5 linked regions of the Cricetulus griseus genome follow. The protein of the gene in region 1 purifies or fractionates together with the protein of each later gene. This does not show direct contact. Links are inferred from orthologs where the notes say so. Each region holds a gene or a part of one and is shown in the gene's direction. Other genes may lie near its edges.

Region 1 (5,770 bases):
TTCTCATCTGTGGGGTAATTCTCCTAAGAGATGTCTACGAATCAGAAATTTTGAAACCTTTAATTTACTTTTCCAGACAGTGTCTTACTGTGTATGCTAAGGGAGCCTCAAACTCTTTATCCTTCTGGCCTAGCTATCTGAGTGGTGGGATTTCAGGTATGCACTCTATCACCCATGTGATAAATTTAATTTACCAAATAAATCAGCACATATTTCACTTTCTCAGTCCATCCATTTCAAATATTGTTCTGAGTACTTTGCTATCATAAATAATAATCACAAAAATTCTAATAGGTATCTCTTCATGCACTGTTTTCTGAAGATGATAAAGTGGGTGCACCTCCTTCCTACAAGGCAGATATTTTAGTAAGCACTGTCTCTCTGGGGAATCCACCAGCCTACTGTAATCTGAGAATCACAGGGAACACTGACAGATACCCAAAGCTATACTAGCTATTTGAAAAAAGGTTCATCAAGAGATTCCCAATAAGTGGGCTAGAGAGATGGCTCAGCAGCTAAGAGCACCTCCTATTCTTTTTGAGGATCAGGGTTCAAAACACATTGAATACATAAAGGCTTACAACCATCTGTGTTAAGTCCAGTTCAAGAGAATTTGGAGCCCTCTTCTGGACCCTTCAGGAAGCAGTCACACATACAGTGCACACACACATATGCATTCAAAACACTATAAAATAGAGGCAGGCATGGTAGCACACATCTGTAATCCCAGGACAGGGGAGACCGGCAGGATGATCTCTGTGAGGCTGAGACCTGCCTGGTCTACAAAGTGAGTTCCAAGACAGCTAGGGCTGTTACACAGAGAAACCTTGTCTCGGAAAAACCAGAAAGAACAGCCACTAATCAAAATAATTCCTTTAAAAAGAGAGACTCCTAATAACCTGAAAGAGGCAGACATTTGCCTGTGTCACTATAAACAGAAATCATGCTACTTTTGAATCTACAACCCATAAAATAACTCCCATATTTTCTGTTGTCTACACCCAACTCCCACTCCCAGCTCTGAGAACAAAACTCAGGACCTCAATGTATAAGTCTTCATATACTGAGATACACCCCTAGTCCACTATCGTCTTATGCTTATCTAAGTTCATAATTGTGAGGGTGGAACAGCTCAGTGGTAGAGGACATGGGTTAGGTCCTTGGTTGATCCTAAGCACCAAACATTAAGTTTTTTTTAAAGAAACCCAACTGTTCACATATAATAACCTAATGTATGACATAGTAACTATAGCAACATCATATTCTTGAAAAAACTCACTAAAATTTTAAATATTTCATCACAAAAACAATTATATTAGGTTATTGGGTTAATTAGCCTGATTTCACCATTTCGAAATATATAAATTTCAGTGTCCTTTTAAATATCATAAAAATATACAACTTTTGTTAAGCAATATTTTAAAATGTCTTAATCCCAGCACTCTTGAGATAGAGGCAGGGGGATCTCTGTGAGTTTGTAGCCAATTGATGTACATAGCCAGTTCTCAGACAGCCAGGCCTACAGAGGGAGACTCTGTCTCAAACAAGTGATCAGGTGTACATTATGGAGTTCACATGTTATGAGCTTTCAAGGGCACTTTCTCAAATACACTCTGATAGATGCTAAAATAGTTGCAGGCCTTTGTAAAGGAAACACATTTAGTGACCATCCTGCTGTTATCAGGCTGTCCCCAAACTCTAAATCCTATGTGCCTTACCATGTCCTGTACTGCTTAAGATCAAAATGGCACACACTTATCACCCAAAGATCTACAAAGCCTATGTTTCTTAAACAAGGATGCGGTGTTGTTTGCCCAAGTTTTTCTGAGAATTCTTTTTGCCTTTAAAAGGTTGCATAGTGCTCACTATTAAGAAAACCACTGCTTTCCCTTACCCACCCTCCAAGTTAGATCCAGCACTCAGGAAATTAAAGGCAGTGTCTGGACAGAACCAAGGCAACCTGAGCAGGCTTGGCTGGACCTTTGGATTCCAGAGAATCACTTTTTGTCTTTTATCATACTGACAGCACCAATTCTCCCAGTCTCAAGGATGCTTTTTGGGTTGGATGCAGGAAGGGAAGCCTACACAGGAATACTCCATTTCCAAGATCAGCCTAGGCTACATAGCAAATGTCTGGGCTACTCAGGGAGACTTTGTCTTTAGAGGAGAAAAATAAATTTAAAAAGCAAGTGTTCTGAGACCAAAGCCAGCTAAAGTTACTCTCTCTTTTCAGTCATAGGAAACAGACCCTTAAACGAGGTGATAAAAGTACTTAGTAGCTGAAACAGATGTAAATCCCCATCATCATTACACAATGTGACTAGTAATACTGTGAATGAATTCTAGGACAGCCATGGGCATTGACTCCCTTGCTTAAAAAATAAATAAATAAATAAATAAATAAATAAATAAATAAATAAATAAATAAATAAAACTGAGGGTTGTGGCAGTTGCCTTTAATCCAGCACGCAGGAGGCAGAGGCAGGAGGATCTCTGAGTTTGAGGCTGCCTGGTCTACAGAGTGAGTTCCAGGTCGGGCAGCGCTGTTAAACAGTGGAAACCCTGTCAGGGAAAACTGAAGGGAAAACAAAACTCCAAAGGACTCCTAAACCCTCACTGCAGCCATTACCTCCGCTATTTCAGGCGCATTCGGGCCTTCCTGGCCCCAGTCTCCCTGGCGTCCTCTTCAGGACAGCTCGCCTCCTGTGTTCCTGTGTTCTGACCCGCAACCCGACTGTGGCCGCCAGGGGGCGACACCAACTGAAGAGACAGCGAAAAACAGGCTCCGCTCCGCCAGCCACAGACGCGGCCGCCTCCCTCGCCCCTCCCTCGGCTGCAGAGCCAAACACAAGGCGCATGTCCGCCAGAGGCCGGCGCGGCTCCATGACGTCACGCGAGGCGCCATAGCGGAAGTCAGATCGGGGTCCATTGAAGTACTGGAGCGAGTCTGTGTGTGGACTGTGCCCGCGTCGTTTCTTGGGCACAGCGGATTTGTCCAGCGGAAATTTCAACCAGAAAGAGTCCCGGTGGCCGAAAGCTGCTGAAGAGAGCTAATAAAGGGAAGCAGTGAGCGAGGCCCGAAGGAGACTTCACCAGAGCTCGCGGGAAGCCGCCGACAATGAAGGGTCAGTGTCACGAGAGATTCGAAATCGGGGTGGATGACAGCATAGAGGGTCGGGAATGGAAGCCGAATCAGGGATCCTGTCACAACAGAGTCCCGAGACAACTTCCAGGCAACTGACTCAGTACACAAAAGCAGTCGAGGCCCAGAGTGTGAATCGGCCAACTCAGTCTCTAAGCTGGAATAGATGTCAGGATGAGTGTGTGGTACCCCAGGGAACTGGTGACGCTCAGGAGAACTGGAAGAGGTGCAGCCAAGGCCTTTAGCTTGTCCTGACCACTGCCTGCCTGTATAACTATTGCTCCCTTCCACATCCTGGCTTTTCACCCTTTCTCTTATAAAAAGCTTCCCGGGCGCAGTGTCACAAACCTAAGGCGTTGGTATTTGAGCAGAAAAGGGATGAGCCAGGAAGGGAAGCAAGCACTGGAGCGGTATTAGAGCAGAGAGAGCACAATGTAAAGATTAAGCCTCTGATCTAATGATTTCCACCCCTGCTGTGTCCTTTCATCCTCTGATGCCTTGGCATGACTCAATGTCAATATTATTATGTGCATACAAGGAAATAATTATATTCCGAATGGCTTAGAAAGGTTAATGAGATTGAAATAAATTATATACACACCTATGAGTATATATATGTACTTATGTATGCATGTATGTATGCATGTATGTGTTGCTGTAAAACAAGTACTTGACAAGCACTGAGTGTACCAGAGCTGTCACATGTGTACTGCAGCAGGAAGTCTTCCAGCTCTCATGCTAGGCATCTGCAGTAGGTAAAGCAACATTATTCCTGGGGTCCCAGGCCCTGCACATTTTCCTCAAGAAACAAAGTATAGTCTTAATCTGCAGTTCAAGGGAGAACTAAAGATTTTGTATGTAAAACTGGTAACTCTCTGGTCAGACATGTACCCAGGGAAGCACAAGAGAACAGACATGGGCTTTTGTTTGTTGGTTTGTTATTGTAGCTGTTGGGATGAGGTCAGCTATGTAGTCCTGACTGAGCTGGGACTCACTATGTAAGCTAGGCTGCCTCACCCTCTGAAGTGATGGGATCAACTGTGTGTGCCACCACACCCAGCTCAGAGACTGAGTGTATAGGGTGTAGTGTGAGCTACATATTCTGGTCATTTGCTCTTTCTTATCTCCTTTATTCCTGTACTCTGCCCCCACCACCATGGTGGTTTCCTCCAAACAAATACCAAACAGGAGCATGAGGTTTAGAGAAAGTTTGGCATCATGCTGGACATATTTAGAATTTGAAGAAAGACTGTTGTATCTATCTGGTCAGGGTACATTCCAATTTTATGGATTAAAGACTTAAAAATCTGTTTTAAACTTCTTGTACTCTGCAAATTGTTCAGTTTCAATCAACCACACCCTAGCCATTAATATCACCTCACTTTTAGTGTCTTCACTACTAAGTGAGCAACCACCCAAGCATAATTATAACTTGTATTTTCAATCAATCAATGTGCACCATTGAGGAATTTTTTTGGACATGCAGAGTCTAGAGTAGAAATTAAAACCGGTGTCTTTATAAGAGTCCAGTGATTCTTAAACAAGTTAAGCTTTGAGAGGTGCTCTTTTAAACCTCATCCTGGGAATTTCCAGGACAAATCTCTGGCCAAGGGAAGAGTAAAATGTATCTGGGATAATTGTGGTGGTACACGTGTATAATCCAGCAACTAGCACTTGGGTGCCTAAGACAGGAGTACTGAGGGTTTAAGGCCACTGTGGGCTATATAGCGAACTCTAAGCCAGCCCAGGATACAAACTGAAAGCCTGTCTTTAAATAAATGTGTAAATAAGCCGCATTGAGTAGGGTCGGGGGCATGGATCCATGGTGAAGCCTGCCCTGCATTAAACCCCACTGAGTTTAATCTCCTGGCACTGCAGAGTATAATAGAAGGATCATCCAAGAAAGCTTTGCCTTTTCATACTAACCCAGTAGTCCTCATCTGAATAAGAGTGCTTATTCAGAAGTCATAGTTGGAAAAGCCTTGGATATTATACTCACTCCTCACAGGAAGTAATCTTCTCTTTTTGTCTTTTATCCCCCAGCTGTGATTTACCATGCCCTTTCTCATAAAGAAGCCAAAGAGCACGATGTACAGGTACAATCTTTGAAAGGTGGGCTGGGAGCAGGAGACGTGGCAACAAAGATGGCTCAGAGTCTGGTCTAGCTGTCCTTCCCATGGATTACTTCTCATCTTTACATTCAGTACATTAGGCCCCATCAAGGTCTTTAGTGCTGATGTCTTCTTGTGCCAGGCTCCTTTCCTAGGGTACCAGAGTCACTCTGAGGGACTTGGATTCCTTGATTTCATGTCATCTCCCACTCTGTAGGGAATGACAGTGACAGCCTGTGCCTGAAACCTCTCTTGTTCTTGCTTCTCTGCCCTGTTCAGTGTGCTCAGCCTATTTCATAAGTGAATGTTACAGATTCTATCTGGGTATGTCAGCAAGCTTTGTCAGTTGGGCTGAAGCTTCACATGTGGCTCATAAAGAGAGCATATTCTGCCAGGCTGTGTGGAGCTTGCCTTTAATCCCGGCACGTGGGAGGGAGAAGCAAGAAGCTGTCTCATTTCAAGGACAGCCAGAGCTACACAGAGAAAACCCGTTCCTGAAAAACAAACAAACAAAAAC
Region 2 (6,596 bases), on another chromosome or scaffold:
ATTAATACAAAAATAAAGCTTCTATAAACCTTCTAAGTTATTAAAAGCTTTTAAGAGATGTTCATAAACTTAACAATTATTTTAAAATAACAGCTATCATTGAAAAGCAAAATTGACCATTAGGTATAGAATGCCAAATATATAGTAATTAAGGAAACTACAGGATGCTTACTGAAAAATGTTTGTAGAAATATTTGAGACATACTGGAAAATGCTTGTAGAAAAACAATCTGAACATAAACTGAATTGATATTACTGTTTTTTAAGCACACATCTATTGGAAATAAGTTAGTATATGACTCTGAACAAAAATGTGGGGGTGACTGTATCATCTCAGATGATTTTTAAGAGAACCTCTAAAAATAACTTGTTTTGTTATGAAGTTTGTGTCACACAAATGGAATAAATTACCTATGAGAAATAGCATGTTTTTTTTTGTAAAATTCTTGTGGAAATAATGCCAGACTTCAAACAGAAAACAAGGACTAAAATAGTAGAGGATATATTTAAATTTTATTAACCTGATTCTGCCAAAGATGTCACTGGGCCATCACGGTTCAGTTTGTCTGGCACTTACTATGTGGCAGGCACTGTGATAAGCATCTTACACAGAACTCTCTTCTAATCCTCAGAATAGGTGCTATTTTTATCACTTCATAACTTGTGCCAGGCATAGGTACACTAGTTAGTGGTAAGGTTAGGGTTCCAACTTAGCAGCCTGGTTCCAAAGCTTTGTAATGTAGGAGCTAGAAAAATGATCACGTGAAAGGTTAGGTCATGGGTAAACTTTATTTCTGGAACTTTAGTGGGATAACAACAGAGCCATTGCCTTCTTTTCTGCTTACCTTTTTACTTCTGTTTCTCTCCCCCTCTTGCCTCTCATTTTTCCTCTTCTTTTCTTTTCCTTTCCTTCCTTCTTTCATTCTTTCGTGTGTGTGTGTGTGTGTGTGTGTGTGTGTGTGTCTCGGGGGTGTGGGCTGTAGCTGAGGTTGGTCGCCTTGAACTAAGCAGTCCAGGCTGACCTTGAACTCTACATATTCCCGACTCAGTCTCCCAAGCACCAGGGTTTTATGTGAACCTTTAGTGTTTCAATTGACTATCGCAATTTGTCTTCAGCGCCACATGACTGCAAAAGGGTGAAGAACGTTTTATGAAACAAAAGCCTGTTGTTACACTCAAAACTCATGCTGGCTTTATTCTTGATAATCTGCTTGTGATAAAAACCACAGCACATTCCCTGTAAAAACTGCAACAATCTTTGACCCAAAGCAACCCTTTTTGTTTTGTTTAATTTATGTGCAGTAGGTGGTGTATAATGAAAATACTAGACTCTAAAGTTTTACAATCTAAAATGAGCAGTGAAGACACTGAGAACAGGAGGAAGGCATGGAGAAGGACCTGAGTCCACCCAAATTCGTTAGAAAAGGACAGAAAGGATAAAAACATTTTGTCAAATGTAGCCAACAGATTTAGGTTTTTAAATCGTTGGCACAGTATCCCACTCTTTTGCTAGTGTCCATAACTCCCCAGTGATCCTGTTCATAACCAATATTTTTCTTTTGGTTTTTCCAGAGAGGATTTCTTTGTGTAGCCCTAGCTAGCTGTTCTGGGACTCACTCTGTAAACCAGACTGGCCTCGAACTTGCAGAAATCCTCCTGCCTCTGCCTCCCAAGTGCTGGGATTAAAGGCGTGTGCCACCACCGCTTGGCTTGATAACCATTTTTTGTCTCCATTTTTGTCTCCAAGGCAGAACAGATGTTGCTGGAATATTCTGGAATACTGCTGTGGAATTGAAAGCCGCCCTTATTTCTCTTGGAGTTGGCTCAAAATTCTCCACCTAAATTGTAATTACACCTAACCCTACAACCCTTATTTATTTGATTTTCGTGGCGCGGGGACATGTGCAGAGAATGAATGGTTATAAGGGCTGGAGCTTTGCGATTCTAGAATGAAAAGAGATAGCGGGCCAGAATTCCAAGGCAGAAGCCATCGTGCTTAAACCACGAACCAGAACCCAGGAACCGGTGGCTAGACCATCTTTACACCACCAGTCCAGACTGAGAGCGGCTGGTTACTACAGCAACCACAGACTCTCGCGAGACAGATCATACGCCTGCGCAGTGCTGCTCCAGAGGTCTGTCCCGAGCTTAGGGATTTTACGGAAGGACTTCCTGCTGTCACAAGCTGCCGCTCAAGTCCCTTACCAGGTGTGACGTAATGCAGAAGGGAGGCGGTCAGGCTGCGCAGGCGCAGCGCAGGCGCACGTGGAGCCGGCGCTCGGGTCCCCAGTGGCGGCGGAGTCGTGATACGGAGTCCCTGTCTTGTGGTCTCCGCAGGGCGCGCTTCGGGAGAGGTGGGCGAGCGCCTATGGTCCGAGTCCCAGCCCGTGGGCACCCCTGTCACCGCGGGGTGGTGGGAAAGGGGCTGCAGACAGCTTCTGAGGTCACTCCAGGTCTCCCTGAAGCCCCTTCCGGCGTTCTCAGTCTCCCTCCGGAGGGGTTTCCTTTGCGTGGCGAAACGCGGGTACCTCTGCTTCTCCCGAGACCACGGGACTGGTGCTCTGCTGCTGACAACCTTTCCCAGGTCCCTTCCCAGAATCAAGGTCTTTCCGTGACGCCTTTCTAATCGCGCCACTCCACCGCCAAGACTCTCCATCTTGTCCCTACCCGGTAATTCCAACGCCTTTATCTCTGTCCCAGCGACACTGAATATTCTTCTGGGTTACCCCGCTGCCCCCTTTCTACTTAGTCTGGAAGGAATTCTTTAGAGAGCGTTCATTTCCCCCAGAGAGCCTTCTTTTCCTGACTCTCTCGGCTAAGGCCACACCTCTCTGCTCCCTAAGGTACATCACTACTACTCTTTTAAAGTGAGACGTTTTTATTAACCGCAGAGGCCTTCGCTTTGCACAACGCCTAATGGTTTAGGGCATCAAGGATATAATCCATAAGACTTTGACGAAGAGAGAGCATGTGGTATGTGAGTCGTATCCTAGGCTGGATACACGGAGCATAAGGACATGAGACACCAGAGGTTTCATTAAATAGCCCGAATCTATAATATGCATGGTGGGTGAAAGGAGAAAGGCTTGTGAGAAATGGGAGGGTAAAAGCTAAACCTTTGAGTTTTCAGTTGATCCCGTAGGCAGCAGCAGCTTGCAGACACAGATGGCAAGGCACATGTCCATCCTGGTTTCCTGTCTATGAAGCTGTTAAGCATTTTTTCATATTGCATGGCGGCCACCTTATGCAGACTTGACTTTTTTCATCTTCCCTTCCAGGTTCTGTGTATCAGAGAAGTGATCCCAATCTTGCTGTCCCTTGGTTGCAGAGTATCTAAGAGTGAGTGTCCCTCGTAAACCGATGGGCTAGGCCCATACAGTAACTGAATCGCCGGTTGGTAAGAACTGTGGTGGGGCCGTTGTCTTGCTCCCTGGTCACTTTGTCTGACCACCTACAGCCAGATATCAGCTTCTGGCAGTCACCTCACTAGATCTGGATGGCCTTCTGTTCTTTAATCTCTGAGCCTGAGGGGAGCATAGAGCTAATAAGGGACCAATGGGAGAGTGCAGTGCAGTGTGGGGAAGGAAGCATCAACAGACCATGTCTGTAGCAGTGGGCAGCATTGACAGGACCAGGTTGCAGCACTCACTGGGAGGAATTCTGGCTTTATGGATCAGGATCTCGGAGTGATTCTGCAACACCATTTCTTGGGACTGTCCAGTTTGGAAAGCCAACCTGTCCCACAACCAACATTTCCAAATGCTGGTTCTTTTTCAGTTCACTTGGACATCTTACCAGCACCCATGACTTGGCTGCACTCCTACAGCTCAGTAGCTCTAGAGTGGGAACCAGCCATCTGTATGTTCTTATAAGCTACAGGTTATTTCGAAGATGGAGCCATGAGTCAGCTTCCTAACCCATACACTGAGGAACCCTATAGGTGTGTTAGGGAATTGGGTATATATTTGGAGAAAGTGCCCTGAAATGGAGGAACCTTAATCAAAGGGGACTTGCTTAAATGGGTCTTTATAGTTCTTAGATAAACTCTAGGAAGGAGAAAATAACTGAGAGAAGGAAGTATGCAGTTGCCTTTGGAAAGGACAAGCCTGATCTAGATGAATACCCAACTAGAGAGCAACCAAGAACATCCTAAAGAGTCTGTAAGGCTAATACCATATCTGTAGTCTCTAGGAAAATTATGAATAGGCCAATGGCTTCTAATACGCTTTCGGAAGGAGCCCAGCCCTTTTATTTCTCCCTAATGGATTAATTTCTTTGAATTTCATCACAAATTTTCATGAAATTGCCTGTCAAAGCAGTCATCTTATAATCTAATGAAGGGAAAAATATGTGCCTGTATGTTTTAGGAAGGAAATTGGGGATCATTGAAGGAGACTTACAAAGGGGTACAGAATAAGTTTTAGCCATGGACATATATTACTTTTGGTTCTTAAAGCCTGATCTGGTTAGTTATGAATTTCAGAGACTACAGATAAGCTCTGTGTGGGCAGACACAAGTGTCTTGATGCCCACCAGCAGCTGTGCCTAGAACACCATCTGCCCACTGGAGTATATGGGCTGATGAATGAGTGAATGAGGGGCCCTTGAGATTCTTCAGAGAGTAAAAGCATTTGCCACTATGCTTGTGACCCAAGTTCTACCCTGTGATTCAACATGGTAGAAGGAGAGAACCTACTTTGATAGAGCTGTCCCCTCTGACGCTCTATGATATGATCCCCAATCCTAGTAACTTAATTTTTAAAAATAAATGAGTGAAGTCTAATTAAGAGTTTAGAAGATGCTAAACCTCTGAGCTTAACACCAGTCATTCTCACATTGCCTGTGTATCATGGAAAAAAATAGGGGAAATTATAACTACTTCATTTTACCAGAGAAGTTATGTTCATGGCTACCTAGTTGGGCCTATATAATTAGACTTGCCTATCAGTTTGGAGTAAAAAACAAGAAAACACTGGAATATAACCAAAATATTCTCAGAGCATGCATTACTAACATGAGATAATGCTTCTTTCTGAAGGGTTTTCAAGATGGCTGCAGCCCCTCAAGCACCTAAGAGGGGATCTATTAGGAAGACTAGACCTCTGGTTGTAAAGACATCACTGAACAACCCGTATGTCATTTCCTGGAGCACCTTGGAGAGAGAGGACATACACTTTATATTACAGACACTTGAAGACAAATTTAAATCAATTGGACTAAAGAAAATTGAAGATAAAAAGAAAAAAACACCTTTTGTAAAAAAGCAAAGATGCAGCCCAGATGTTGAGATTAGTGAGGGTCTGAAAGAGGAGCACGATGGGAATGTGCAGGTCTCAGGGTGGACACCCGCACATGTCAGAAAACAGCTGGTCATTGGCGTTAATGAAGTCACCAGAGCTCTGGAGAGGAATGAACTGCTCCTAGTTCTAGTTTGTAAGTCGGTCAAGCCTGCTGTCATCACCTCACACATGATTCAGCTGAGTATAAGCAGAACTGTGCCCGCTTGCCAGGTTCCTCAGCTCAGCCAGAGAATTGCTCCTGTCATTGGCTTAAAATGTATGCTAGCCTTGGGCTTTAGAAAGAACTCCATGGACTTCGCTGAGGAAGTAAGAGCTATCATTCCCAGGGTGCCCAGCTTACATGTGCCATGGCTTCAAGACAGAACCCAAGATCCTAAAGACAGTTTAGAGACAGAATCTTTGGAAAGCCGGGACAAAGAGATTTTGGACACTTCATTTGATGACCTTACAAAAGTTAGTAAGAGAAAGCCTGCCGAAGGTGGGCAGGCTTCCACTACAATACTACAACCCCTTAAAATAAAGAAACTCATTCCCAACCCTCATAAGATAAGGAAACCACCCAAAAGTAAAAAATCCATTTCAAAGTAGTTTTGTATGAACTTGTCATTTCATGAAAGGATATGATCTAAATACTTTTATTTTAAAACAAATAAAGTATGTTTACATATATTCTTAGGATCTTGCATGGAGGTGTTCTTTCAGATATGGCAAGTCTTTCTGACTGGGTGGGACACATACATTGAAACTTAAAACCATGAGGTACAGAAAACACTCAAAAACGATGATTAACAAAACCAAAGTTTATTGAGACTAATGTCCATGCGTGTATAAATTCACTGCTTTAAAGGCTGGTACAATGCTTGCTTGCAAGAACATCAGTTTCCTACAGCACTTAACATTTCTCTACCAAACTTGGAAAATGGGCCACAAACATGGTCTAGTAAGGTGGGTGGAACAACTAGAGAAGGTCCTCAGTTGTAAGGGAGAGACACTAAATGCTAAGCAGTACACTGTCTTCAAAAGCGGCATACCATTTTTACTTGGTGGTAATTTGGCTTTTTTTGTAGGTAAGCATTGACTTGGAAAAAGGCTTGTTTAATACAGAAAAAGAAAAGCCTGGTAAGGTTATTTTATTAAGAATTCCCTCCCTGCCCATAATTTCCTTGCAATATTTAACATCTATCAAAAGTACATTGGGGGTATAGCTCTGTGGCAGAACATGTACTTATTAGCACACACAATCCCTGGCTTGATCCCCAGCACCAAAACAAACAAAACAAAACAACACAACAAAAC
Region 3 (6,051 bases), on another chromosome or scaffold:
GCCGGGAAGGTGGGACTTGCTGCAATTTCTGTGATGTCACCTTGGATTCACTGTCATTGAAAACACCATTAACTAGGAGAGTAATATGAGCTGGCTTGTGAACTTTGGGAGAAGAGCATTTAAGTGTGTGTCATAACAACTTCACAATTTTGTCTTTAACCTCTCTGCATGTAGTTAGCTAGCTTACTAGGGACCAATAAGTGGCCCTGTCAGAGCTCCACATAACAGGTGGCTGAGAGGATTTGAAGACACCCAGGTAAGTTAGTCACTGTGGAGCCTCAGACTTTGTTGGTTAATGTGTACGGTCTAGTGAAACTGGAAGGAGGCGTGGAGTGTCTCCTGAGGGTTACTTGCCGAGCTGTAATCACCTCAAAGCCACGGGTGAACTCTACACCCCTCTGGCTGCCTCATATTGGCTTTTGGGTGGGCGGTTCTAACATCCTTTATAACAGGTTTAACGTGAATCTCGGGTAAAGGGAGATTAAGTCTGTGGTGAAAAATGATTTAGCTTCCACTGTAAAATCCACCGTGTGTTAGACATTGTTGTGGATTTCGTTACAGCATGTTTTTGTTGCTTTTGTTCTTTGAGACAGGGTCTACCTGGATGCCCCTGGCTGGCCTGGAACCCCCTACGTAGAGCAGGTTGGCCTTGAACTCACGGAGCTCCGTCTACCTCTGCCTCCTGAGTGCTGAGATCATTAGAACCCGTTTTAAGTACTGTGATTCCTTTGAGGATATATTTTAGTTGATGTTGAGCTACATAAAGAAAAGTGTCCTTTTTTGGGCTGGGGATGCAGCTCAGTAGAATGGTTGCCTGGCATGTGAGTGGCCCTAGTTCAGTCTCTAGTTGTTTTGAGATAAGGACCTTCTTATGTAGCTATGACTGGCCTGGAACTTACCTAACCCAGGCTGGACTTGAACAGTGTCAGTAAACACTTTTTCTCGTGAAGTAGTTGGATTAGTCTTACAACAGTGTTTTTAATATCTCATCTAGGCGGGTACGTCAAAAAGGAGGGTAGAGCCGGGCGTTGGTGGCGCACGCCTTTAATCCCAGCACTCAGGAGGCACAGGATCTCTGTGAGTTCGAGACCAGCCTGGTCTACAAGAGCTAGTTCCAGGACAACAGCCTCCAAAGCCACAGAGAAACCATGTCTCTAAAAACCAAAAAAAAAAAAAGAAGGGTAGAGGTACACTTTAGTGGGTTGGGTCAATTAAGTCTGTAGAAGCAGCTCAGTCCCTTGACCTAGTCCAGTCTGTATCTGAAGTTGTTCCCTGCCTGTTTTGACTGGAACCAACAGCAATAGCAAAACTCAGTTTAAACACTGCTAACCTGGAGATTTGTGTTTGCCTGCTTGGGGTAACGAGCTCCTTTTCTTGGATAAACTGGATCTTAGGCATTTTAAAGGAAAAGATTCCTAGGACCCTGACTGTGTTCTCATGCTTTGGAGAGGTTTGACTCTTAAGAGTTAATATTGTACTTACCTGGCAGGAGAGAGGTACCATGATCATGAAGGTGGTTTTTCCCAGGGCGAGGCTTATCCTTATTGCACTCCGGATGTGCAGACCCCTGCGATCCCCCCAAATTCGGGAAACTCAGCTGCATGATTTGTGGTGGTGGGAGGGACTGCACTCACGCTCTCCCCTGGGGGGGGGGGAGAAAGTTAATTATTAATGTGTTTTTATAACACCTTTCAACTTCATTAACAGGGCAGTTTACTGTTGTAAGTAAGTGGTCTCTGAGGTGAGTTTTTAAAGTACTGATCTGAGGCTGGAGGTGTAGCTCGGGGAGAGAGCTCTTGCCTAACTTCACAGGGCCCTGAGTTCAATCCCAGCACTGGGAAAGTAGAACGAAACCCTCAAACCACGTTTGTGCAGTCTCTAGCAGTGGCTGATGTGCTCTGATAGACTATTTGAACTGGTCCTTGCCAGAGAAGAGCTTGCTTTACCCTTGCTTGGCCTTAGAAGCAGAAAGTGTGGCTCGGTGGCAGTGAATGTGCTAAGTGTGCGTGTTGTAAGTGTGTACTCACTGCGGCTTGCCTGCACTCACTGGCTAGCGGCAAACAAACCAAAACAGAAGGGAAGAAAGAAAATAGTGAGCTGCACTGTGTGTGTAGGCTCATTTAGAGATTTGTGTTGAAATACTCTTAGGCTGTATGACCTTGGCATCCCAGGGCAGCCGTGGACTTCAGGAGCTCACTCTGTACAACTGTGTTTTCTGCTTCTGGGAAGGAAAAACTAGGCTTTGTTTCAGCAGAAGCTATCCTGTCCCTAACGCTGAGTTGAAGGCTTCAGCGTCCTTGCCCTGATAACCCTTATGTTTTCACAGTGCCTGTGGTTTTGCCTTTTCCAGATGTCATGTGATTGGCTCTCTCCCTTAGTGAAGTGTGCACCTAAAGATTCCTCTCTCCCGTCTTCCTGTGACTTTGTGGTGACTCATTCCTTCTAGTCCCTCAGCAGAATATTTGAAGTTGAACTGGTGCTTTCCTGTGCCTTTGTTTCCTGAGAGTTCTCTCTTGTGTCTACAACTCAGTTTGAATCATACCTCAGTTCTGCCCATCCGGATCTGTGGTGAGCTCCACAGGGCAGCAATCTGGGTCGTCCAGGACTGCTGGGGATAGGCTACTGGCTGTGTGGCCATCCCTGGCACTCAGCACTGAACCTCAGACCTCGCTGCTCTGTCTCCAGGGGAAGAGCAGTTTATAGATGCTCTGCAGCTTTCTTTCTGTCCGGCCATTACCTAGTCACTTGCAACTTATTTTTTTCCCTAGCCAGCAGACCCACACAGGTATGTGATTTTGAGTGACAATGCTCCCTCCCCCTGTTTTTTTTTTTTTTTTTAATTCTTCAGTGTAACAAAAATAAGATTTGAAGGACTTCTTTTCTGTCATGTTTAAGTGACTGGGTGTGGAAGTGTTAAGTGTGCATCACTGGAAACCCTCCTTTCTGGTATTCTAAGCACAGCGTGGCTTGCTCAAGAAACAGTACGGTTCACAAGCACTGCTCACTTTAAAGGAATGACGAAGTGTGTTTTACAGACAGGATCGAACAGCTCAGTAAAAGTTAGTTACAAGAGACCCTAAGTGAAGGGTAACAGAAGGTGTCTTCTAGAAATTTCATTGTCTTAAATTCAAGGGGCAACCTACAGTTATTAGTATTATAGTTGTGTCTGCACAAAAGTAATTATCAAAGAAAAGTGTTGTTATTTCATTGACTAGGAAACCAGTTGTCAGAATAACTTAGTCTTTTGTCTTCTAGTTCAGCAAATGCCTATGAAATAGTTTCCCTTCACCACAGTCTTCCAGCATTAGAGGTTGATGGGGTGAAAGTGTGGTTTGAAGGCTGTTTCTTTTCCCTCTTAGATGATGAGCAAGTCAGACAGCTGCTCCAGGAGGGTGTGCCCTTGGAGTGTACGCATAGCTTTATCTGGAACCAGGAAATCTGTAGCAGTGTCACAGAGAATAAAATCCCGGATCAGGTAACTAATGTGCCAGGAACTACGGGTAAGCTCACAAATGACAGGGGAGTCACCGTTGTAGAGACCTTGCAGAATGATTTCATTCTGTAAGTTTCACCCTGCCCCCTGACAGGGTTTTTCTGTGTAACAGCCCTGGCTGACCTGGCACTCTCTCTGTAGACCAGGGTAGCCTCAAACTTACAGAGATCCACCTGCCTCTGCCTCCCGAGTGCTGGGATTAAAGGTGTGCGCCACCAACGCCTGGCTGTTATTTATATACTCTTTACTGTGATACTTTGAATTGTTTGTTTTAAAGAATAATTTCTAGAAAAAAAAAAGACCTTTTCCTGAAGTGAAGAACCGTGTGGCTTAAATATATCCTATTTGGTCTTAATTCCCTTAAGTATTCTGTCTTTAAGTTCATACTGATTGTGTTCCCACCAGAGCCAGGCATCATGTTAGATACCCATAGGTGACTTGGGCATTAGGAAGTCTAAGATTCCTTGGGACTTTGAGGCTGGCTTGCTGTGTGAAGGAGCTGATGTTTGAACTTACTCTCTGATGGGAGCTAGGCTTCTTGGGGGCAGGCATGTTAGGAAGTAAGAACAACATGAATATGTAAGTTAACTTTGAGTCTTCTGGTGTACCCCAGCCCAGACAGCAAGTTTAAGATACTTTGGCATTTTCCTACCAATGCCTGCATATAGAGGAAAATCTTTATAGAAAGGATATTTTTACTTATTCTGGCTCAAGTTTGCTTATTCAGAGCCTTTTATTTTCCCTCTCTTTTTTCCTTTAGGTTTATTTTTGAGACAGGGTTTCTTTATAGCTTTGGAACTTGCTCTGTAGACCAGGCTGGCCTCGAACTCACAAAGATCCTCTTGTCTTCTGAGTGCTGGGTTTAAAAGCATGCACCACCACTGTTTGGCTTGCTTTCCCTTTTAAAAGAACATTTAACTTTTAAATTTGCTCCTGTGGTGATCTAGAAAGATCATCTGTAAGGTCTAGTAAGATTTAGAAGACAGTGGCTGTTTGTATTGACCTGTTTTCTTCCCCTTTAGGATTTAAACCGGATGAGAAGTGAATTGCTGGTGCCAGGGTCACAGCTTGTTTTAGGGCCTCGTGAATCCAAGATACCTATCCTTTTGATCCAGCAGCCAGGAAAAGTGACTGGCAAAGATCGCCTGGGCTGGGGAAGTGGCTGGGACGTCCTGCTTCCCAAGGGTTGGGGCATGGCTTTTTGGATCCCATTCGTAAGTTGCCTTTTGATCTCAGCTACTGCTTGCAATATTTAAAACACGGTGATCAGCATCTTAACTGTATAGCTGCTCTGAGATATTCACAAGCTTGTTTTATGTGTTGATCCTACCCTTGTCCTACATACCCATGCCCACCTGAGTTCAAGGCCAGCCTGGAATTATAGAGTGACTTCCAGGACAGTCAGGGCAGTTACACAGAGAAAGCTTGTCCCCAAAAACAACTTGAATCAGTTTGTGAGCTCAGCTTTTACAGAACTATAGAGCGTACTGTTGTGGTTTGCTAACTATGAGCATATACTGCTCCTGTTTCTTAACCGTAGCTAAGAGGCATGCCAGTGTCAGGCTGCTAGGTTCACACAGGTAGTTAATTTTTGACAGTTACGCCTAACGCAAGGAGCAGTCTGTTAATCATTTAGGAAGGGTTTTTCTTTTTCTTGGCATGTTTGTCATTTTCTTCAGCCTGAGAGTTGGACTTGAAGGTCTCAGCGGGCTAGGAAGCACTCTGTCAGTTAGCTTCATTCCCAGACAACAATCAGGCGTTATTTCATTCACATAGAAAAGAAAAGGTCCTCTCACCTACCGAGTGGCTGTGCACCCTTTGCCGGCCATTCCCCCATGTCCCTCACACCAGTGTCATCTCTCCTAAAGTAACACTGTTATGATTTCAGCATTTGTCATGCCTTTACCAAATGCTTTTATCTCTGTAAAGTACGTTTTTTACTCTGTCTTATTGTAAATATGCTTCTGCAACCTGTTGTATTCACTGGGTATTGCGGTTGTTTTCCCGTGTTGGTTGACGTTCCGCTCACATTCATTTAAACTGCTGTGTGGTGCTTGGCTGTAGGAGTATCCTAACATGGGTTTACCAGTTACCATCTGATGGGTTTTTAGGTTATTTCTCATTTCCCCTACACAGACAGTTAAACAATTTTCTCGCTTCAAGTTAGTAAACTGACAGGGCCTCTTGACATTTCTCCTAGATCTTCCGAGGTGCAAGAGTTGGGGGTTTAAAAGAGGCTACGGTGCATTCTCAGTATAGAAGGTCACCTAACATCCCCGGCGATTTCCCAGACTGCCTTGCTGGGGTTCGCTTTGCTGAAGACCAAGCTAAGGATCTTCTGGAAAAGTATAAAAGGTAAGGAAGGAGCTGCCCTTCTAGTCCGTCTCCGGGGACAGAAGCGACTGCTTGAATTGCCTAATGGCTTAGGGATCGCGCAGTAACCCTGTGCATAGTGCAAGCTTCCTCTTGAGTTCTGTCTTATCAAGAGGTGGATAAGAAGATAATGCTTTGGCCAGGAGTTCCTCTTTTGGCCTTTGAGTCCCGTCTGGTACAGCCCT
Region 4 (5,329 bases), on another chromosome or scaffold:
GCCAGGTCAGTACCTCAATTATAAACTCTTCCAAGACTATACGCTTACTTACTTAATTGCCTATTCGTATTTTGTAATCCTTTCCTTAAAGAGAGCAACAAAATCTGGATGTGGCTGCAGAGGTAACAGATGCCAGTGTGCAGTTTTCTTGTAAGTATTTAAAAATACATTTACATATGCAAACGTATCCGCAGGGTTTGGCGGGCACCCAGCTTTTCAGCATACCGTCCTGACTGCCTTTTTGAACAGTGGTATCGAGTGCAGCAAAGATAGTGCCTTTATTTACCCACTTTCCACAAGTTGAACCTTCTCTGCCCTCCCTCTGTCATCTGTCCCCTTCCGAAGGCTCCTACCCATTTATCACGCTTTCTCCTTTGGCCTTCTTCCCAACCTGGTTTCTTCTTTCACACTACCCTTTCCCCTTTATCCTCGCTTCCTTCCAGCCTCCCGCGTTTCTCCCCCCTCTCTAACACCACGGTTTCTTCACGGTCCAACCGATTTCCTCAGCTCACCGCCCCTCTGCTGGTTCCCGGCCTTCGGCTTCCCGGCAACGCGCAGTCCCCTCATCCTTCCACCACCGCCCGCCACACACCCCCACCGCTCCCCCCTCCCCAGGCCGGGAGGGAGCGCACAGCCGGCGGGCGACGGAGCAAGCTGACAGTGTAATGAATGGCTTCAGCTGTAATTAGCGACCCCGCGGCTAATCACGATGTGCATTTACATTTTAAGTGCTGCAGAGGGAGCGGGAAAGGAAGCGACGCGCGGGCGGGGAACCGGGCCTTTTCTGTGTTCTCCCTCTACAGACTCCGGACTAAAGTGAATGGGGGAGTCTATGGCAGAGGGTAGTGGTGGTACTGGAAGTGGGTGGCGGTGTAAAGACCAGCTTGCCAGCCTGGTTGGAGGCACAACCGCCTGCCCCTCACTGGAACAAACCCGCAGCTCCCAGGTCCCTGCCCACATCCAAGTTGTTTTAGCCCAGGCTTGAAGACTCCCGGGGACACAGAGCTGCTTTCCAACCAGCCCAATCCTTCACAGCTTCTAGTCTTTCTGGAACTTTTTCTCAGGCCAATCCGAAACCGCCCGTCTTTGAAAGCAGGCTGCACAACCACCGAGAGCAAGCCTGTAAGCGCAGTTCTTTTGTGGTTTCTGATTCAATTCCCAGTTTCGGGTTCCTGCCTTGATTTCGTGGCCCCCGTACACTGCAGTCTTGGTGTCTTCCCAAGGCGGTGCCTCCCGAACCTGCTTCTCCCTGTGAAGCCTGCAAGATCTGAGACCAGGCCAGAGATCCAGTTCCGGGCACAGTCCTAGGGTATGATCAAGAGATTAGAGTCAGTCACTCACGCTTGATGAGAAAAGGGTCCAGGTGCTGCAGACACCCTCCAAAAAGAGATGAGGAACCTGGTGTTCTGAGCTGCGAGGGGCCGAGAACTGTCACCGATAGCTAAGAGTTAGAGGAGGGCCAGGCAGCCCTCACCTAGACTGAAGCTGTGCCCATCCAGGTACCGTCGTGCTCACAATACCCTCGGGGTCACCTGCTCCCTACAGCCTTCGGTGCTTCTTCCTTGCCCTCGCTTTAGCAGGTCTGTCAGGCTCCCTGCATTCTGTGAAAGCCAGGCTGGAGACTGAAGGACATGCATGGTCCCTCCCTCACTCCTTATGAAAGATTCTTCCTCCCACCAGTCCTTCGTCCCTAGCCGTGTCTTTCTATTGTTCATCTCACCTCGCAGCAGAGCCCGAGCCTCTCCTTATGCTCGATGGAGTTTCCAGAGGTTACCCCAAATCCCAAAATCCGCCCCCAAGGCTTCAACTCCACCCCGCTTCCCATCTCTCAAAACCTCTCAGTCCCTTTCAGCAAAAACAGCCCTCTGGATTGCTAGGAGCCAAGACTGATTCCTCATGGGTTTGGAAGTGATAAATCCGTGTCGGCAGGGACTGAGCCAGGCAGATAAGAATGCGTGCAGCTCTAGTAAAGGACCTTCAGGCATGAATACATACAACAACGTTAACGCCTTGGAAGAAATGGTCTCGTTTTCTTCCCATTCACTTTAGGCTGGCCCTGCGCATCACTTCCTGCATTTCAGGGGTGTGAGGGTACCAGGAGCCTGGAGGTCTGGCTAAGAAGAGCGAGGCTGAAACCTAGATAGATCTCTCTAAGCAGCTAGGCAAGGACCATGCTGCGACGTAGCGGTCCGAATCCTAGGAAGGCGCAACGTGTAGCGGAGCCAACTCCTCTCACACCCTGCTGACCATGCACTGGCTGTCCTTGAGGCAAGAATACTAAGGAGAGAGAGGGGGGGTCTCTGGAGGGTTGGAGGAGTGAGGCCCCGGGAGATGGTTCGGAAATCTCTTACCTAGGAGGGGGTCTAGGGATGCCCTTGAGCTGGAACCCCCAAGGCTCGGGAACCGGGTTTGAATCGGCGTCTGTACCTCAAGCATGGTTTTTTATTTAGGTTGCTCCTACGTGAGGACTGGTTCAGGGAGGACCGATGGTTACTTCGGGAAACTTCGCCTCCCAAGTCACCCCTGGCGCTGTGACCCCAGCCGCTGAGCACTAGCGCTTGATCCCAAAGGCTGGCTGGGCTGGGACTCGGACAAGTCACGCAGAGTTGGGGCGGGGCCTGGACGAAGGGGCGGGGCCTCTCGGGCTCCCAGGCGGAGCTTCTGCTAAAGGCGCGGAGCACAAGGCGCCGAGGGCTCAGAGTAGAGCAGCACCACCCGGTAGGAATCTGGGCTGGAGACTGCGTGTCCACAGCCCACCCTCAGCTTCCACTCGGTGCCGGCATCCCAACCCCTACCGGCCGTCGCCCGGCGCGACCCCGGCCATGCAGCCCCGGGCTTGAAGCGACCCCATGGCAAAACCTGCGATCCCAGCGACGACGGCGCATGGAGAACTTCCGTAAGGTGCGCTCGGAGGAGGCGCCGGCGGGGGACGGTGATGAGGGTGGCAGCCTGAACTCTGGCCCTTTCGCAGACCTGGCGCCCGGTGCTGTACACATGCGGGTCAAGGAGGGCAGCAAGATCCGCAACCTGCTGGCCTTTGCCACCGCCAGCATGGCGCAGCCAGCCACGCGCGCCATCGTCTTCAGCGGCTGCGGCCGGGCCACCACCAAAACCGTCACGTGCGTCGAGATCCTCAAGCGCCGCCTGGCGGGCTTACACCAGGTCACGCGGCTGCGCTACCGGAGCGTGCGCGAGGTGTGGCAGAGCCTCCCGCCTGGGCCCACGCGGGGTCAGACGCCTGACGATCCGGCCGCCAGTCTCAGTGTACTTAAGAATGTACCGAGCCTGGCCATCCTACTTTCAAAGGACGCATTGGATCCACTACAACTCGGCTACCAGCCTCCGAACCTCAATCCTGGTCCTTCGTCCACTCCTACGGTGTCGACGTCCAAGAGGAGCCTGGGGGAATCTGCTGCTGGAGAAAGCACCGCTAAACGGTCTCAGCCTGAGCCAGGGGCTGAGAATGAGGACTCGACCGCCTGAGAACTCCTGGCTCTGAGCCACCTCAACACTCCCACATCCTCGTGCACTTTCATACCAAGGTTTTAAGGGGCCCATGTTCCTGGACTGGAAGATTGACAGCAGGGATCCCAAGGCGACCAGAGAGGGAGCTCAGGAATGATAAGAGGATCCCCTGAAGTCCAAGAAAACTTTGTGGGAAGTGTTGCCAGAAGCCACAGAACTCCACCCCCACTTTTTCTAGGCCATCCTGGGATCTTTTTTAGTGAAGCATGGTGGATAGTGAAGACTCTTGAGCCTTCTTGGGGACCCAGACTTTAAAAGCACCCAGAATGCGCAAAAACTGACAGTTGAGGGTCTTGAAATCATTCTTGCTGTTTGTTGACTGAGGGCCGGGGCTGCGACGTAGATTCCTTGAGGGTGGCCAAGTTGAAAATGTTAGGACCCTATTCTGCCCACTCACCGCCTGGCAATTCCCCTTTTTAGCTTTTCTTCCTCTTAGCATCCCCCCCCCCCCTTTTGCATGGTGGTGGATAGGAGACCCAGGACAAAACTTTCCACGCCTCCTCCCCTGAGTCCTACTGCTGGAGTCTTGCTTCCAATAAAACAAACATGAAAATGGCTCTGTCCCCAGAATTGTTTTTTGTTTTTTCCTTACCTACCCGCCTGTGCAGAGACACTTTGGCATGCTTGCCTTCAACCTTATTAGCCTTTGGAGTGTTCAAGGTCAGACACAGCAACCGGGCAGCCTCAAAATGTTGCATGAGGGACTCGTGGTGGAGCGGGTGGAGGTCTGTGTCCCTGTTGCATCCTTACAAAGTGAAAGGAAGCAGTATTGCTGCTTTTCTGAGAGAGGAAGGAGGGAGAGCATTGGTGAGCCGAAGGAGGCAGCCTGCCAAGGCTGGCAGACCATGCTAAGGTTCTAACCTTGTACCCTCCTCCCGGTAGACATCCTTACCCAGAAGGCAGGCATAAAGCCCCATGAGTAGGAGCTCCCCTTCACTGCCCTCTCTCTGCAAAAGGACAGCACACCCTTGGGAGAGGGGGAGGAGAGAGACAGCACAAATCCACTGCTAGAAATTACTATTCAGCAGAGAAGCCTGGTCTGTGAATCACTGCAGGCTCCCTGATAAGCTGCTGCCTCCAGCCCTGCACAGCTGTGTGTTGAGAGATAACGGCCTCAGATGCCTCTCTGCCCAAGTCCAAGCTGGTGGGGTGGGGGTGGGGGTATGCCGTGTGCTGGAAGTCAGATGGGGAGCTGTTCAGCATATAGCTCAGGCTCTTCAGAGCAGATGCCACCCCATGACACTCAGCACCTCTGGAAAGGAGACTTACATTTGTAAGTCACTTTGCTTGCAGATCTTTGAACTAAATCCTACTGGTGAGGAGGCTGTTTTCTGCCGCTGATGGAGGGGCTCCTTGAGGAGGCCCCTTTTCTCCTTCCAATATCTCTGCTTCTGCTTTGGATCACCAAGTCCTGCCATCCAGACTGTCATTCATTGTACTCTACCCTCCCCCTGACCTATTTATTTTTAGAGATGGTCTTGCCATGTAGTACAGGCTGGCCAGAAACTGATCCTCCTGTACCAGCCTCCCAATTGCTGGGATTACAGGTGTGCATCTTGTCCAGCTCAATTTCTTGTTCTTGAGGACTCTCTATGGAGAGCCAAGGGATTTAGATGTGTTTGTTAGCCCCTCTCAGAGATGGAGCAAGAGATTTGGAAAGAATGGAAAACTGGGCTGAAGATGTAACTCATTTGGTAGAGTATTTGCCTAATGTGTATAAAGTCTCGTGTTGACCTCCAGCACCGCATAAGCTTGCCATGGTGGCATATGCCTGTAATACCAGAACTCTGGATGTGAAGACAGG
Region 5 (6,607 bases), on another chromosome or scaffold:
GCGGTGGTGTTCACCTTTAATCCCAGCACTCAGGAGCAGAGGCAGGCGGATCTCTGTGACTTTGAGGCCAGTCTGGTCTATAAATCAAGTTCCAGGACAGCAGAGCTGTTATATAGAGAAACCTTGTCTCAAAAAATAAAACAAAAAAGATCTGGCTGTAGGCTAGTCTGTAGAGCTAATTAGAGATTTATGGGGGAGGACCCAGCCCATTGTGGGTGGTGCCATCCTTGCACTGGTGGTCCTGGGTACTATAAGAAAACAGATTGAGTAAGCCAGTAAGCAGAACTACTCCATGGCCTCTGCATCAGCTCCTGCCTCCAGGTTCCTGCCCTATTTGAGTTCCTATCCTGACTTTCTTCAGTGATGGACTATGGTGTGGAAGTGTAAGCTAAATAAACCCTTTCCTCCCCAACTTGCCTTTGGTCATGGTGTTTCATCACAGTAATAGTAACCCTGCATAAGACAAGTAACCGTGTACTTACTTGTGTGTTTTGGGAAGGGCTGAGGAAGGCTTACAAACATGTATGAGACACCACGATAGAAAGTTAAACATGCCGGGCGTTGGTGGCACATGCCTTTAATCACAGCACTCGGTGGGCTGGAGAGATGGCTCAGAAGTTGAAAGCACCGGCTGCTCTTCCAGAGGTCCTGAGTTCAATTCCCAGCAACCACATGGTGGCTCACAACCATCTGTAATGAGATCTGGTGCCCTCTTCTGGTGTGCAGATATATATGGAAGTAGAATGTTGTATACATAATAAATAAATAAAATCTTTAAAAAAAATCCCAGCACTCGGGAGGCAGAGGCAGGTGGAGCTCTGTGAGTTTGAGGCCAGCCTGGTCTCCAGAGTGAATGCCAGGATAGGCTCCAAAGCTACACAGAGAAACCCTGTCTTGAAAAACCAAAACACACACACACACACACACACACACACACACACACACACACACACACACACACACCCCCACACACACACACACAAATTAATGGTAAGTGAAATAGGATGGACTGAGAGCTGTAGTGGTTGAGTTAAAAGATAAAGATTTTCCACGAAATCCTGCATGTCACCAAGTGTATGTGACCAGATGGAAACTGACTTGGTATGTATAATTAAACATAGATACTTTGAAGGTGACTGATAACCTAAGAGAGCTATTTCAGACTCATAATTCATAGTGTCTGTTAAATATGCACCAGCTTCTTACAAGACACCTAATTCCTTCTACTGCCAAAAGAGTTTCTTACAACTCCTCAAGGAAGTTGGTGATGATCTATCTGTACAAGAAGTGAAGAACTGGATTCCAAGCCAGTTCTGGCAACTTCCAAAATCCAAACTTTTTTTTGAGAAAGAAAATGTCACTATCTAGTGTCAGTGTTAGTTTCCTCCATTTATTCCCCATCTGAAACAAGTCCTGTCCCCCCTGAGGGGGAAGGAGCAGAAGCCACATGACTACAGAGCATGGCCAAGACAAGAATGACAGAGTTTTAGGAAACAACAAATATTAGGTTCTTTTCTCAGTTATAGAGAAGGCCCCAACTGGCCTAGGCACAGGATTGGCTGTGCAAGGCATACATTTTATGCCCACTGCCATGTCTAGCTCAGGCCAAATCAAAAACATTTTTAGTAAGTACAAGCTGAGTGACCGCTGGTACCAAGGCATACAAGGCAGTGATAAGCCATCACACAAGTCCCCACACACAGAGATCACCTCAGACTCCAGCTGGTTTAAGATGGTGTAGTCTGGACATTACTGGCCAAAGCAGATAATCTGTAATACCACTTGTAATCATGATGGGGTGGGGGCAGATAATTTAACCTTTCCCTATTGGGATAATAGCTACCCCAAGGTTGTTTGAGGGTTCCATTAGATAACTTAGGTAAAATCTTTTGTACAATGCCTGGCACCAAGTAATATTAATTTGCTATTGTTACTATTAAATACACACTATATGTCACACATAGAGAGGGACTATACCTTATGCTCCTGAGCTCCCACCGCCCAGAATGGCGGCTAGCACATAGTGAATTCAGAACAAACTCTTGGTGAGTAAATCAAAAGTGGAATAACTTACATCTGGATACAGGAGCAGCTAGATCTTTCCATGTCAAGACAGAACTGTGTGATAGGAGCCATAAAGGGCCACTGACAGTGGATCTTGTCTGGTGCCTGAGAGATGTTCTTGAAGAGGACAAGGCTTAGATTTAGCTTAGTGGTGGAGGACTTGCTTAGCATAGATGAAGCGGTGGTTTTGATCCCTGGCACAGCGAAAGAAGAAAAAAACAAGGAAAATAATCTAAGAGAGGAGATGTTTGATATAAACTGTTGCAAATGAATGTAGAGATAAATGACCACGAAGATTGCTAGCGCCTAAAAAACATGCCACAAATGCAAGTTCCGGAAATGGGCGCCAGGGGGCGCTGAACCCATCGACCTCAGCCCGGCTGAGGACCATGCCACCGTCTAGGGGGCCGACGCCGAGCAGTGATGTCACTTCCGCTTGCGCGTCGCGTCTGTGGGGAGGTGCGGGGCGGAGGCAAATGTAAACACATCACATTTGCAGGCCCAGACTTGGGCTGCTGCGTGGGAACTCCGACCCGCGCCCGGTTCTAGCAGCGCGCAGGAGACAGGGACGCGGCCGATCCAGCGCCGCCGGAGCCTCTTAACGGCCCGCGGCCTGTGCGGGTGCGCATGCGCGAGGCGGTGCGGCTGGCAGGTCGGTCCGGGTTCCAGACGGCGGGGAAGGTTGAAGGTAGCGCACTCCCCTCGTGGTGGGCGCCAAGTAGATGGCGGTTGTTGTCGAGCAAGATTGCAAACCGCATAACTCTTAGAGCAGTAGGGGGCCGGGCTTCTTCCACGGCTGCTTTGCTCCCATGAGTCCCAGAGTTGTGTTTCGTGTGCTTCAATGTGCAAGGCACGTTTGAATCCGGTAGAAGCCATAGGGACTAAACATTGTTTTTCGGAGTACAGGCGTTGTGAGAGGCAGGAGGAAGGAAGTGGAGATTAGATATTCTGTAGTTCTGTTAGAATTTAAGGGTTGCAAGGACTGGGCAAGGAGGGGTTGGCGCCATCGTAGATCAGATTGAGCCGTGGAACGCATTGAGTAAGATGAAGGAGGCTAGGAAGTGTGAGACACGTGGCTACCGGCTTCTGGGTTGCAGAGAAACTAGTCTTAGCCGAGGCCAAGAGGAGGAGGAAGCCTAGAGTGTTAGGTCTCACAAGATTCCTGTTCTCTGGGTAGTGGTGGTGCACGCCTTTAATCCCAGCTCTCGGGAGGCAGAGGCAGATGGATCACTATGAGTTCGAGACCAGCCTGCTCTACAGAGTGAGTTCCTGGACAGTCAGAAGTCTGTTACACACTCTGTCTCGAATACCACCCCCACCCCCAGAGGAATTCCTTTTCTCCGGTCTGGCACTTAGACAAAAGCTGCCATTCCCTCTGGAATTTAAGACAGTTGAGTCATTCTCCACTTACCTCTGGCTAAAGGTTCACTGGGCTCCTCTTTTAACCTATGACTGTGGTGCTTATTAGCATATCAAGGGCTATGCTAGGCCCCCTCAGTCCCTGCTCACAAGTACCTATTACAGTTATTCTGGCTGACAAGTCCTGCTCCCTCCCCTAACCACCTCAGGCCCAGCTTTTCGTTCCTGTGTAACTCAGCTATTTGATTATTAACTCAGCTCTCTTGGTTCTTCTCTTCCTCTTGCTTCTCTTTTTTTTTTTTTTTTTTTTTCTCTTTTTGGTTTTTCAAGACAGGGTTTCTCTGTGGCTTTGGAGGCTGTCCTGGAACTAGCTCTGTAGACCAGGCTGGCCTCGAAGTCACAGAGATCTGCCTGCCGAGTGCTGAGATTAAAGGTGTGTGCCAGCAACACCGGCCCTCTTGGTTCTCTTGATTATTCACACCCTCTTTTGTTTCTCTTTTGTCCTCTTGGTTCCTCTCTCTTGCTGTCCCTGACTGTACATGAGGTCAAAGCAGGACCTCAAAGATTTCCACCCTACTCTGCATAAAATCAGAAGCATCACTACGTCTGAGCAGAGTTGTGATATGAGGCATTTTGGGTTTTGTTGTTTTTTTTTGGGGGGGGTGGAGTGGTGATGGTTCAGGACAGGTCTCTGTGGGTAGCCCTGGTTGTCATGCTGTCATGGATCTGTAGTAGGCTGGCTGGAACTCTCAGAGATCCACCTGCCTCTGCCTCCTGAGTGTTGGGATTAAGGGCATTTAGCATCACCACCTAGCTGTGATGTGGTTTAACACGTTCACAGCAGCCATATAGATTAGAGAGGGGGGCAGAAGATCAAAACCAAGTAACTTGCTAGCAACATCCCTGCAATCAGAAAAAGGTATCAACAGTGACTGTAAGAGGTATACATCTTGAACCTGTTGAGTATGATGCCAAACTACTGAGGACGATACTAGATTTTACTCTGAGAGCTTAAGACTATACAAAGTGACTCTTTAAGTCATCATTTTAAAGGTTAGTTTATTTTTATTTAATTGTATGGAGGATTTGCCTGCATTTGTATTTATGCACCATGTTGTTGCAGTGCCTAGGAAGGCCAGAGGAGGGTGTTGGATCCTCTGGAACTGGAGTACAGACCCTGTGGGTACTGGAAACCCAGCCTGGCTTCTCTACAAGAGCAGCAAGTGCCCTTAAAAAGAGTAAAATATACAGTGTGTCATTTTAACTTTCTTTTGGTCATTAAGGAAATATGCATTGTCATGTGACCATTAACCACCACCATTGTCTAACCAGGGTTACATAAAGTACTATAATAAGTCTTTAAAAGTCAAATAGGCTGGATGTGCTGACATTCTAGCTGGTGATCTCTGTCCTTCCTAGAGAAAGGCAGGAGGATCAGTTCAAGGCTAGCCTTAGCTATATAACAAGTCTTTCTCAATTTAAAAACACAATACTACTACTAATAATAATAAGGTGTATCTGGTAATTATGAGCGCTCTTGACTCCTTGTAGGAACTCCATGTTTGAAGATGCCAGCTACAGCATATGAAAGACTAGTTTACAAGAGCCCCTCGGAGTACCACTACATGAAAGTCTGCTTGTAAGTTCAGTCTTATAATGTTTCCCCCCACCCCAATCTGAAAAGCATGGAGTTTAATATGATAATTTCTCTTTTTAATATTTTTTTTTCCAGAGAGTTTCAAGAACACGGAGTTGGACTGAATACAGCCCAATTCAAACAACTGCTTGTTTCAGCCCTGAAGGACCTGTTTGGGGAGGTATGAGTTACTTGGCAGATTAAGTAAGATTCTTTAGGTTTTCATAAGACATTCTAGAAAAGGGACTAAGAGTATATCTAGCCCAGTGGTGAAATGATGGGTCATACCTGTCACTTGGGCACACACCTATCATAATTCTAGCATCTGTGATTCTACCCCTGGTAAGTGAAAGTAGAATAAGAATTCAAGGTAAACCTCCTCTACATAGCCGTTGGAAGTCAGCCTGTCTACATACTTTTTTAAAATGAAGAAAACTTTGTTGTTTGTTTGAGAAAAGTTCTCTGTATATCCCTGGTTGTCCTGCAGTTTGCTCTATAGAACAGGCTAGCCTTGAATTCACAGAACCACCTACTTCTGCCTCCCAAGCACTGGGCTTAAAGGTAAGCAACACCACTCCTGGCCTAGAAGAGTACTTTGTAAGAAACACAGAAATATCATCTTTTAAAGGTATACTGGAATTTGCAAAAGCCAACTTTCAGAAATAATGAGTTCTGGTAGGTTATTCCAGTGTGCCCTGTATTGACAAGGAACCTGGTAGGCCACGGTTTGTTTTTGCACAGCTATCAAATTATAGTCTAGATTGGTAATATCATTGCCCATCTTTGTAAAGATGAAGGGTTTATATGGGAGCTATCACACTTGAGTGAGAAGGTCTCTTTATAAAGCAGTGTGAGGGATGGCAAGATGTCCTGAGTTCAGTTCCTGGAACCCACATGGTGGAAGGAAAGAGCAGACTCTTGAGAATTTTCTTTCACCTCCACACATGTGCAGTGGCTCATATATAGTGCTCATATATAGATACATATACATATGTGTGTGAGCAATAGACCGCTGGTACATGTACATGCTAGGACACGTGTACATGTGGGGAAAACACACATAAAAATAAATAATTAGTTTTTACATTCCAATCTCTGTTCCCCCTCCCTGCCCTCATCTCCTCCCACTCCCCCGTCTTCCCCCCCCCACTTCCACCCACCCCACCTCCCATCTGCTTGTCAGAGAGGGTAAGGCCTCACCTAGAAAATCTGTTAAGTCTGTCCCATCATCTTGTTGAGGCAGGACCAAGGCCCCCCCACACCCCTATGTCTAGGTATCCTGAAGAAATCTCCTGTGTGTTGGGAGGCAGAGGCAGGTGGAGCTCTGTGAGTTCGAGACCAGCCGGGTCTACAGAACTAGTTCCAGGACAGCCACAAAGCCACAGAGAAACCCCGTCTCGAAAAAACCGGGAAAAAAATCACCTGTGTGAAAAAATTACACACGTATAAATATAAATGTGCACACATGGTGTCAACTCTAAGTACATTCTGAATTGTATTAATACCAGTTACCTGGCTTTGATCAGGTACCAGGTTATATAAGATGCT

Evidence for each region.
Region 2: the proteins of Pop4 (region 1) and Rpp38 purify together in Homo sapiens (affinity purification with mass spectrometry; 4 studies listed by BioGRID and IntAct, counting the BioPlex papers as one, with this or other methods). This does not show direct contact. The link is inferred for Cricetulus griseus from reciprocal best matches to the Homo sapiens genes POP4 and RPP38.
Region 3: the proteins of Pop4 (region 1) and Pop1 purify together in Homo sapiens (affinity purification with mass spectrometry; 5 studies listed by BioGRID and IntAct, counting the BioPlex papers as one, with this or other methods). This does not show direct contact. The link is inferred for Cricetulus griseus from reciprocal best matches to the Homo sapiens genes POP4 and POP1.
Region 4: the proteins of Pop4 (region 1) and Rpp25 purify together in Homo sapiens (affinity purification with mass spectrometry; 3 studies listed by BioGRID and IntAct, counting the BioPlex papers as one, with this or other methods). This does not show direct contact. The link is inferred for Cricetulus griseus from reciprocal best matches to the Homo sapiens genes POP4 and RPP25.
Region 5: the proteins of Pop4 (region 1) and Rpp14 purify together in Homo sapiens (affinity purification with mass spectrometry; 3 studies listed by BioGRID and IntAct, counting the BioPlex papers as one, with this or other methods). This does not show direct contact. The link is inferred for Cricetulus griseus from reciprocal best matches to the Homo sapiens genes POP4 and RPP14.

The regions. Positions count from the first base shown.
Region 1 is NC_048599.1:152,152,007-152,157,776, forward strand, and holds the start of Pop4 (ribonuclease P protein subunit p29), read left to right. Parts: upstream 1-2,889; 5' UTR 2,890-3,118; coding exon 3,119-3,125; intron 3,126-5,185; coding exon 5,186-5,238; intron 5,239-5,770. UniProt on the Homo sapiens protein: Component of ribonuclease P, a ribonucleoprotein complex that generates mature tRNA molecules by cleaving their 5'-ends.
Region 2 is NC_048596.1:220,624,242-220,630,837, reverse strand, and holds Rpp38 (ribonuclease P protein subunit p38), read left to right. Parts: upstream 1-2,219; 5' UTR 2,220-2,354; intron 2,355-2,535; exon of another isoform or gene 2,536-2,670; intron 2,671-3,278; 5' UTR 3,279-3,397; intron 3,398-5,038; 5' UTR 5,039-5,048; coding exon 5,049-5,888; 3' UTR 5,889-5,975; downstream 5,976-6,596. UniProt on the Homo sapiens protein: Component of ribonuclease P, a ribonucleoprotein complex that generates mature tRNA molecules by cleaving their 5'-ends. Also a component of the MRP ribonuclease complex, which cleaves pre-rRNA sequences.
Region 3 is NC_048603.1:16,507,208-16,513,258, reverse strand, and holds part of Pop1 (ribonucleases P/MRP protein subunit POP1), read left to right. Parts: intron 1-1,474; exon of another isoform or gene 1,475-1,643; intron 1,644-3,359; coding exon 3,360-3,475; intron 3,476-4,515; coding exon 4,516-4,707; intron 4,708-5,693; coding exon 5,694-5,848; intron 5,849-6,051. UniProt on the Homo sapiens protein: Component of ribonuclease P, a ribonucleoprotein complex that generates mature tRNA molecules by cleaving their 5'-ends. Also a component of the MRP ribonuclease complex, which cleaves pre-rRNA sequences.
Region 4 is NC_048597.1:169,123,505-169,128,833, forward strand, and holds Rpp25 (ribonuclease P protein subunit p25), read left to right. Parts: upstream 1-2,883; coding exon 2,884-3,483; 3' UTR 3,484-3,668; downstream 3,669-5,329. UniProt on the Homo sapiens protein: Component of ribonuclease P, a ribonucleoprotein complex that generates mature tRNA molecules by cleaving their 5'-ends. Also a component of the MRP ribonuclease complex, which cleaves pre-rRNA sequences.
Region 5 is NW_023276807.1:76,004,472-76,011,078, forward strand, and holds the start of Rpp14 (ribonuclease P protein subunit p14), read left to right. Parts: upstream 1-2,488; 5' UTR 2,489-2,691; coding exon 2,692-2,752; intron 2,753-2,769; exon of another isoform or gene 2,770-2,914; intron 2,915-4,974; coding exon 4,975-5,062; intron 5,063-5,155; coding exon 5,156-5,240; intron 5,241-6,607. UniProt on the Homo sapiens protein: Component of ribonuclease P, a ribonucleoprotein complex that generates mature tRNA molecules by cleaving their 5'-ends.